Caenorhabditis elegans: one gene and its partner. The protein of the gene in region 2 interacts with the protein of the main gene of each other region in a biochemical or structural test. Each region holds a gene or a part of one and is shown on either strand. Other genes may lie near its edges. The genes, in order: lury-1 and npr-22.

What was found.
Region 1: the proteins of npr-22 (region 2) and lury-1 interact in a test that uses a peptide from one of them, tested with the Caenorhabditis elegans proteins (one large-scale study listed by BioGRID).

What each region holds. Positions count from the first base shown.
Region 1 is NC_003281.10:12,184,320-12,188,532, reverse strand, and holds lury-1 (LURY-1-2), read right to left. Parts: upstream 2,123-4,213; 5' UTR 2,110-2,122; coding exon 1,932-2,109; intron 946-1,931; coding exon 854-945; 3' UTR 617-853; downstream 1-616.
Region 2 is NC_003282.8:8,557,293-8,563,776, forward strand, and holds npr-22 (Neuropeptide receptor 22), read left to right. Parts: upstream 1-2,139; 5' UTR 2,140-2,175; coding exon 2,176-2,325; intron 2,326-2,705; coding exon 2,706-2,838; intron 2,839-2,986; coding exon 2,987-3,528; intron 3,529-3,958; coding exon 3,959-4,086; intron 4,087-4,144; coding exon 4,145-4,309; intron 4,310-4,443; coding exon 4,444-4,507; intron 4,508-5,383; coding exon 5,384-5,506; coding exon of another isoform or gene 5,507-5,549; 3' UTR 5,550-5,869; downstream 5,870-6,484. Other genes in the region: mpst-6 (thiosulfate sulfurtransferase), read right to left, coding at 6,312-6,484. UniProt on the Caenorhabditis elegans protein: Receptor for the LURY-1-1 and LURY-1-2 peptides which control food-related processes including feeding, lifespan, egg-laying and roaming behavior. Receptor for flp-7 which stimulates serotonin-induced fat loss.

The DNA of each region.
Region 1 (4,213 bases), on a different chromosome or scaffold from region 2:
TTCAGTTTTTTCAAAAATCTTATCTAATGACATTTCTTATCATGTTTGGAGTCAACAACTTTATCAAAAATTAATGCCAATATGCAGGGCTAGCTCAACTAAAAAAATTTCGAAAAACTGTCCTTTGAAATGTATCAAAATTGTTTAGTTTTTTGCACGCAGCTACTTGGTTTGTAATAGTTTGTAATTGGTAAATTACCCAAGTTACAAAAATATTTTAGAAACCGATATTCCGTGAAAATATTTTTTTCGAAATTTTGCAAAGTCCTTAATAGTGAGTTTCAAGAAAAAAAAACACACATTAAAACACAAATTTAACGTTTACTCACTGTTTAATTGAACCATTAACCTCTCCAAGAAAACCCTGTAAAAAAAATTTTGTCTGAACAATTTCAGATTTTTCCAAAAATTTAATTTTTAAAAAATCTAGTTAAAAGTTTTCCTAGACTGCAAAATTTTTGTAGAGACTTATTGAAAATGTTTTTTTGAGTGGCATAAATTTCATCTGTTTAAAATTTTTCAGACACTGGGTTTCTACAATTTGTACATTTACTGGTATAATATTGAGGTCGCAATAATGCACCAAAATTGGAACTTTCCGCCGTCCTATCAGTTATTCATCAGACACAGACTTTATTAAAATGCCGTATACATAAATGAATGTAAATTAAAGAATATTTGCCCTCCCAAAAGGCTTGAGACAAACAATCTCTTCTAGACAAGCTTGATGTCCAGAATAACACCACAAACAAATTTATTCTAATTTCTTTTGGATTTGAATGAGAGAGAAAGCAAAGAGATGGTTGAACGACATAGAGACGCAGAGAAACAATACAATATTTTCAGAGAGGTTTCACAAAAAGAACGGTCGGAATCTGACAGCATCAACTGGAAGACAAATGTATTTTCCATCGATTAATTGGCAAACCACGTCCGATGATTCTTCTGGAATAATTTGAAATGGAAAAAGTCGGATAAAAAATTTGGCAATTCACAAAATAGTAGCAATTTATAATAAATTTGGTAATTTACAAAAATATTGGCAATTTAGAATTAATTGGGCAATTCGCCAAACGTAGGGCAATCTAAAATAAATATGCCAATTTACCAAAAATTTGGCATTTTCCAAAAAAGTGGCAACTTACTAATAATTTGCCAATTTACCAAAATTTTTATAAATTAGAAAAAAATTGGAAATTTACTCAAAATTTCGCAAACTACCAACATAGTGGCAATTTTCCAAATATTTGGAATTTTACCAAAATTTTAGCAATATATAATAAATTTGCCGATTTACCAGAAATTTGGTACTTTACTAAAAATTGGGCAACAATTGCCAAACTTTTGGTAAATTGCCAAAAACTTGGCAATTTACCAAAAGTTTAGCAATTCATCATAAATTTTCCAATTTTTCAAAAAGTTGGCAATTTATAATAAATGTAGTAGTTTGCCAAATTTTTGGCATTTTATCAAAAATTTGGCAATTCGCCAAACGTAGGGCAATCTAAAATAAATTTGCCAATATACCAAAAATTTGGCATTTTCCAAAAAGTTTGAAAATATATTTTAAAAAATTGGGCAAGTTACCAAAAAGTTTGGCAATTTACCAAAATATTGGCAAATTACCAAAAGTTTGTTTTTACTTTAAATTATAGAAAATGGGTTGTAATAACCGAATATAAATGTTATAAAAGTTTTTAAAAACGGTCAAAATTTTGCGAAGAAATTTCAAAATTTGTTAATTTAGCTACCCCAATTTTTTTGGAGTTTTCCGGCAATTTTAAACTTTCAAGAAAAATTACAAAAAATACATTTTATAAGTGCTAGTTTTATAAGTAACTTTTATTTTTTCTAAAAAAATAAATTTTAGTCCAAAATGTTCTATAGACTTGCCAAAATGCAAAAAAAAAAAATTTTTTTAATCCCCCTACCTGTCAAAGAATTCTGACTCGATTCCATCAAATTGCCCGACCTTTTTCCATAACGTGGAAGAACAGCTCGTCCGTATCGGGACAGCAACGCCGGCCGTTTCTCAGGTTTCTCAGGCTCTTGGCACAATGCCAACATCACAATGACAGCCAAAATGAGGACAGGGACCCTTGTGAGCATGATTGGATTTTCTGGAATAATCGGGTGGATTTTTTGATGATTTTGAGAAGCTTTTGGAATACGTCATTGTAAAGTCATGAGAGCAAAAAGAGTGTGACCGTGTGAATTTTTTGTGGAAAAATTAAATTAAGTAACTTTTTTTTCTCTAGAAATCATAAAAATATGAAGATTTTGAAATGTTTTTTTTCGATAATTATAATTCGAAAACTGCCAAAATTCACGGTTTTTGTCACAAAATCTCGAAAATTTTTTCTTCCATGTAGGCGATAAAACGCCTGCCTACTTAACCTTAAGGCGACCTTCGCCTGCCTCTCGCCTCAATCCGCGCCTTAATTTGATTTTTATCAAATTGATAGAAATGAGAAAATTGGAAATTTGTAAAATCACGTCAAAATGCAAAAAAGAGGCGAAAGGCCAGGCAGATTTCAGGCAGGCGTTTGAAACCGCGCCTGCCTACCATGGAAGACCTAGTCTTGGGAATTAGTTTTCGAAAAAATTTGAAATATGTATAATTGGTAAATTCATAAAATGTGCGGGGCTTGTTTGGAGAAATTTGAAAAATTGGTTTAATCGTAAATTAGTGCATTAATGTAGGCGCCTGCCTGCCTGCCCGTCTGCCTACCTCCGCCTGCCTCCCGCCTCAATCCGCGCCTTATGCTCTTAACTTGATTTTCATCAAATTGATAAAAATGCGAAAATTAGAAATTTGTAAAATCACGTCAAAAAGGGAAAACAAGAGCCGAAAGGTCGCCGTGAGGCGGGCAGGTGTCAGGCAGGCCCTGAAACCGCGCCTGCCTACCAGGGAAGCACTAGTTTTGTATATTTTTTTCAAATTTTGATTGGAATCACTTTGAAAGAGGATTTTCAAAATAGGTTACTACAGAAAATTTAGCAGGTCTGGAGCACAATTTCGAGCTGAAATTACAAAATTTCACTACTATTAGGATACGTAATTTTTGATAGTCTTAAAAATTTCTAGAAGTAAGAAAAATATATTGGAACTTTTTTTGAAATTGGTATATTTTTTGTTGACAAAATCTAATATTTCAGGGAACCAATTCCATTATTTTTTTATATTTTTGAACAATTTAAAAAGTGATCAATGAAATTCAAAATAAAATAAAAAAGAAAAAAGAGCATATCCGAGAAAATACAGAAAATTTCCAAAAAAAGTCAAAATCAAGATAATTTTCCACTCCATAAAACCGCACCACAAAAACATAATCAAATGAGCCGAAAATCTTTATTTTTAAACCTTAATCTTGTAAATCAAGAACCCCTCCTTCTCTTAAATTTGATACCTTTTTCTTAGCTTAATTAAACATAGGGCGTTGGCGTTGAATTTAGTGCCATTTCAAAAAGAGAATTGTGGGAAAAATGGTCTCGGATTTCATTAAACGTAAAAAGGAACGAAAAAGCAGCGTTTGAAATGGTTATTTTCCGGTGAAGATTTGGTGTTGTGACATGTGAAAATTTTATTTTTTGGGGAGAAAATATGAAATAAGGGTTCAGAAATTCAGATTATTCAGAATTCAGAGAAATTCGTTATTTTTAATTTTCTCAGGGTTGTTGGCACGCAATTCTGGAAATGACAACAAACAATAATAAGCTCTGCATTGGACGAAAATAATTTCAAAACTATGGTACACAGTTAATCAATCTGTGATGTGCGCATAGTGTGGGCACACTAGGGCTTTCATGGTAGGCAAGCGCGGTTTCAGGGCCTGCCTGAATCCTGCCTTTCTCACCCCGGTCATTCGCCTCTCCTCTTACGCATTTTTACATGAATTTACAAATTTCTAATTTTCTCATTTCTATCATTTGATGAAAATCAAATTAAGAGCATAAGGCGCGGATTGAGTCGCGAGGCAGGCAGAGGTCGCCTTAAGGCCAGGCAGGCAGGCGTTTTAACGCCTACAGGGAAGCCCTAAAAAGTTCCTATAATTTGCCCTAAACGGATTACTTAATGAAATGAAAATTAAGAAGTAATAAACGAAAATAAGTAAATGAATGAGAGTTCATCATTGAATCGTCAAAATTAGCAATTCAATTCTTATTTTTTTCAGGTTTGAGATGGGGTCTTTGGTATTTGATAGATTAGAAG
Region 2 (6,484 bases):
TTTGAGCAGAATGCACTTGGGTTTTGAACTTTTTTAAAAATTATTCAACAGCTTTCTGAATCTGTCTTGTAATGTTTGAAACCTGATTGTGAATGAAACAAGAGTGAAGTAAAACAAAATAAATTTTAAGTTCGGAGAATTGATTATAAATGTTTATCTTTTTTTCTTTTTTGAAGGTGGATGTGGAGAAGTTGTCAAAAACCATTCCTATGATGCCAAAATGTTCAAATACAACTTTTCAAAATAAAAAGTGTGAAAATTTTTATTGACAGTTTAAAAGTGGCAATTACTGAGTTTTTGCCACTTTTTGCCATAGACGACTTCCAAAAAGCGAAGACTTTTCCAAAGTTTTGAAGCTTACTTGACATGAATGTTTTCTTATTTTCAGTCAACTTTATCTTGTTTTTTTCACAACATCGCACTACATCCAGACACATTTCTGTTGACTCAATATTAATTATTTATTATTTATTATTCATTTTGCAAGGATGTGGTGTTCTTATTCCTATTTTTATATACTTCTCCTTTTTCTTTCAGAAATTCTAGAAATTATTTTTATGCTAATTGAGATGTACATTTGAGACATTTTCATGCCGTGATGACGTAATCTATCTGAATCTTGAGATATCTATGTACATTCTTGCTAATAACGTGAAAGGTGTCATATGTACTGAGGTCTACCTTATCATTTCCTGATTATAACATCATTGAAACATATTTTAGACATATTTTAATAAATTTCAGTTTTTTTTTGTCCTATCTGGTCAATAGTTTTTTCTACAAAAAAATAGACAAATAAGAATTAAATTCAGCTAAAATTATTGAGATATAGTGTTGAAGAATACGATAAAACGACGGTAATCTTTCATTCGATTAAATTCTAGAAACCAATCGCGTATCCAAAATCTTAAATTTTTATAATTAACAGTTAGCTAGAGTTTCTTTATTGGAACATACAATTAGCACAATACAATTGGAAAACTTCGGTTTAAAGAATCTGTAACAATTTTCTTTTACTTGATTTTGTTCAAGTTTCTCAAGTTTTAGCACGTGCTCTAACCCTGCAATAAAAGTTTGTACTTTATTCAAGTATTCATATTGTACTTGTACTCTATCGTATGATCATATTACTCATGTCTAAAACTTCGGTAGACACGCATTTTTCCAACATTTTTCTTCCATAAATTCCTGTTATCTTGCAAAGTTCATTTGTAAACTAATACAACACATGTCTGGCTGATTTGACCTTTCTCATTGAAATTGATGGATCATGTGTCAAAATGGGACCACTACAGATCACTAGATACTACTATCACTATATCACTATTTAAACATGGCAGATTTCAAGAAAGTTTGCCACATTTTCAGATGAAATCATCTTATTAATTTTGATTTCGAAAACAGATATTAGCAGCCTACCTTCTGGATTTTTCGGTTACAATGTACCTATTTATTAATCAAAAACTATCACTTCTGCATTTTGTAATCATTCCCCAATCATCCTTGTGCGAAAAATAGGATAGTTCTTCAAGTTTTTCCCTTCCCTATACTTTTGCCATATATTTTTTTAATTCCCACTGGACTTTCCCAAAAGAATTATTTTTCGAATATACCACACTTTTAACAAATTTTCTGGATTCGGAAACATTATATTTTTTTTTCTACAAAACCGCAAAGACTATAGTCATTTTTCGAGGTCAACAAACATCCAAATATCATTGCGAGCATCCTATGTTCCTCTAATTCTCTCATACTTTGCTTCCGAAAACCCAAGAATCACAAAAAAATCTTGTTTGATCTTTGCCTTATTTTTCCAACTGCTAATTGACCTTCTTCGTTTATATAATTTTTCACTTTATAGAAATTTACTTTTTAATCAATTTCAAACAACAAAATTTGATACACTTTCTTAATATTATCCTTCTCCTACATTCTCATAAATTTGAAGGTTTCTCTTTCAACATTTCTGATCTAAAAAATGTGCGAGAAAATACATTCTTGGTTTCTTCATATTCATTTATTTCTCCGAAATATGTTCTCTTTTTCTTTGTTTTTAATTTTCGGTTTTCTATGAACAAGTGGTCTTCCTTATTTGGAACACTTCCCCAAACTCTTTCCGAATAAATTGTTTTAAATTTCAGATCGAACGATTCGTCATCTAATTCGTGAGCAAATATGGACGAAGGAGGGGGTATTGGAAGCAGTTTGCTCTCCAGAATCACGACGACAGCCTCTGAAATTATGATGCGAAACGAACCGACGACAACTGAAAATCCAGCTGTTCAAGAAATGAATCATATTTATCATTTGACACCAAGTATGAAGGTGAGACTTTTAAAAAATATTCTTATACATTCAAAGTATATCTAAAAATCCAAATTTTACAAGAGTTTTGAAACTTTGAAAAAAGGAACTAAAATTAGTTTTTTTTACATTTCATATTTAGGCAATTTGGCCATGTTTTTAGCCAATTTTACCTGCTGAAAATTGATTTTAACGTGCCATGTACTTTTATTTTAGTTAATTTATGATAGCGTTTTCTTCAAAACTTGAACCGTAAATAAAAAGTTTTGAAAATTTTTCAAGTGCTATCATTATTAAAATTCGGTATAATTTTTAGAGGCCATTTTAAGTGTAAAAAATGAATAAAATTACTACATTATTACCTTTAATATTTGTACCTATTTATTACTAATTTTTTACAGATGTTATGTATTCTTTTCTATAGTATACTTTGCGTATGCTGTGTCTATGGAAATGTGCTCGTTATTCTGGTTATTGTTTATTTTAAACGACTTCGAACGGCGACTAATATTTTGATATTGAACTTGGCAGTTGGTGGGTTTTGTTACTTTTGAATTTTTGAAAACTTTTTATAATTTTTCAAATCTCCAGAACTTATATGAGCTTCTAAATGGATAAGTTTAAAAAATTAATTAATCTAAGATGTTGAGCAAATTTCCCAAAAAAACAACTAAAATTGCAGCTGATCTTCTCATATCAGTATTCTGCATTCCGTTCAGCTATTGGCAAGTATTGATTTATGATGATCAACGTTGGCTCTTCGGCTCAATGATGTGCTCTTTATTAGCATTCCTTCAAGCAATGGCTGTATTTTTATCAGCTTGGACACTTGTCGTTATCAGTTTTGATCGGTGGATGGCTATAATGTTCCTTTTAACTCCAAATATTCGAATTACAAGACGAAGAGCTCTTTATCTGGTAGCTGCCACGTGGATATTCAGTATCCTAATGGCGTTGCCGTTACTCTTCACAACGAGATTTTTCGAAGACCAAGACGGTTTACCGAATTGTGGAGAAAATTGGACGTATTTTGGAGATTCTGGAGAACAAGTGAGAAAAGTGTATTCTTCAATGGTCTTAATTCTACAATATGTTGTACCTCAAGCAGTTTTAATAATAACTTACACACATATTGGAATTAAAATGTGGAATAGTCGAGTACCAGGAATGCAGAATGGAGCAACAAAGAAAATGATCGTTGATCGACATGAAAGTGTCAAAAAGGTGAGATTTCTGGAATTATTAAAAATTTAAGCCTAACCTTTCAAAAACTCCCAGTTTTGATTTATTAGAATAATAAGAATATGGAAATAATGCAACAATCAATGGCTCCTCAGTGCGGTGATGATAATAATAACCATAATCAAAGTCAACCGACCCCTATATTTATAGGAACAATATTCTCATGTGTAGCATAAAAATAATAATCAAAAATCGTTTTTGACATAACCTTTTCCAAATCATTATTAAGTGAAACTTTAAAATTGAAAAAAATTAAATCAAAGTTCGAAGTTATTACATTTTACCTGCCTATTACATGACGGTTTGATAAAGTTGTTCAGTAGATTGAAATATCGTTTTTACTTATTTTTATCAAATACAATAAATATTACCGCGTGAGAAACGAAACCTGTTAATTAAATAAGATTTTTAGCTGGTCCCAATGGTGATTCTCATTTCGGCACTCTTCGCACTTTGTTGGCTTCCTTTACTTATACTGATCAACGTCATTCCAGAATTCTATCCAGATATCAACAGTTGGGGATATATTCTGTATTTGTGGTAAGAAATATTCTTTTAATCTGACTCAATAATTTGGTTTTAAAAATCGCATTTTGAGGTGGTTTGCTCATGGACTTGCCATGTCTCATTCAATGGTCAACCCAATTATCTATTTCATTCGAAATGCCCGTTTCCGTGAAGGATTCTGTTTCTTCTCTTCAAAACTTCTTCCATGTATATCATTTAAAGAACTTCGTCTTTTAACTGATAATACTAGCAGAAGGTATGTCAATTTCTACAAAGTTGTCTGTTTTTGAATTGAAGCCAAGAGTTAGGAGCAATTCAGTTTATTTATGTATCAACCTTATTTGTTGATAACCAGTTTGATAATTTTAATAACTCAACAATATCATTCAGTTTTCGAAACCGTTCACGGTTTTCTGGTGTCATAAATCCGACTTCAAGCGATGAAAAACCTGCTGTAAGGATGTTCTCTAACCCATGTTTTTTGTCCTTCTTGACTTTTTGTTTGGCTTGGCTTTTTTATTTTTACATTTTAAAGTTTATTTTGCACTGCTTCACATGCACTAATATGTTGATTAAGTTAATTTCATTTTAAATTATGAGTATATCGTATTTCCTCTTTTAGTATTGCACACCATTGTTCAACTTTGACAGTGTATATCTCAGTTATCATTTGTTCCATTTAAAAATTGTCAACTAACAAAATATTTTTTAGTTCTTTTTCTATAATTTCGTAGTTAAAGATATAATGATATATTCAAAATAAACCGATATATAACGTTACAAAGTAAAGTTGTCCGGTGCATTACTAAGAGAGGAAATACGGTACGTTAAATTAGCAAAATTAAAAATCTTCTAAGTCAGCCTAGGTCGTTCAGCGCAGTTAATTTGCGATGGACCCATCAGAATCCTAGAGCAGTGATTTATCTACACATCGTCAAAAAAATCGGACATTGCGCATACTGCGACTCGTAAGCTGCCTATAATGAGCACATTGAGCCAGGATTGCTATGAAATCATTGTGCTTGTTTACTGAGTCATTATGTGCCTGTCGCGAATTAACTGCGAACTAAATTTTGCCACCAAATGATAGAGGGAAAACCCCTACTACTGAGAAAGTGTTTGCCGATGAAGTTTAGCGAAACCTAGAACCATAAGAACTTGTAAGTAAAACTTTAAAAACAGTTTTTAAATTCAAATGCTTTACTTCTAAACCCTTTTTATTAATTAAACGCCTCAATTATATCCACTGCCTAGTACACATTTTCCAATCTGATTATTTCCACAACATCGACTTTCTTCCTAGCCACAACCTAATTTTCAATATTTTCAGACATCGCTTACGAGATATTCACGAAGTGGAGTCCTTGACAGGCAAACATGTCGTTCGGCACGTTTCTTCGAAGCCCGACCACTCGTCGTCGTCCGAAACAACTCTGCCAATTCTCTCGCGTAGCTTTTCCCGTATCATTAAGAAAATTGATCTACCATGTACTTGAGTGGAAAGCTATAGAAGACCATAGATTCAAGGTTTTTGTTATTTGAAATTGTATTTTAAAGCATAATTTCACAAATTATGTTTATATTCCATCCATTTTATTGTATTGTAAGAAAAAACCCCTCAGATCTCCTAAGAAACAATTTTATATGAAACATCAATTGTTGTCTGAAACGCTTTTCATACCGGTAAATACTCGCCCCACCAAATCCACGAATCATCACCAATATTTTAAACTTGTACCATACAAATTGCGTGTTTTCATTTTATTTGAATATTTTTTCAAAACTAAATGTAGAAATAAATGTTAGAATACTACAAATTTACATCTGACAGATTTAAAAGAATCCAATGAGTTGACTGAAATTTTGTAAACTGGCAAATTACTGAGCAATTCAGATAAATATTTGATTGATTTCGGTTTCAAGCTTGTAGTTCCACGTGTGAAGGTTTATTTACAGAGATTCGGCATTTGTCTATTTTTAGAAGGGATGCATTTTCCGTGAATTGTATGCAAGTATTTTATTAAAGAAAAATGAAATAAGCAGTCTTGATAGGCAGACACTTATATTTAAAGTATATAGTCACTCCAGAAAACAGACAAGAAAACAATCAAAGTGAACAATTTTTATGCATTTTCATTCAATCTTTATTCTTCAATTTTCTCATACACTTCACAAAAGTAAAGCATATGAAAACCAAAAAACACAAAACACCGTCAGCGACTTGTTGTATGCAGAAATAAATCAGAAATGATTGTCACTTATCCCTTTGTGTTGAGATGTTGTGGCGCCTTGTAAGCCAACTCGTGGACTCCTCCATTGTACAGCTTGGCAACGATTCCGGAACGAGCAGCCGCGAGCCAAATAGCTGAAGCTGAGAGTCCGATTCCGCAACCAATGACAACGGTGTCTCCGACTTTGATTCCCTTGGCGG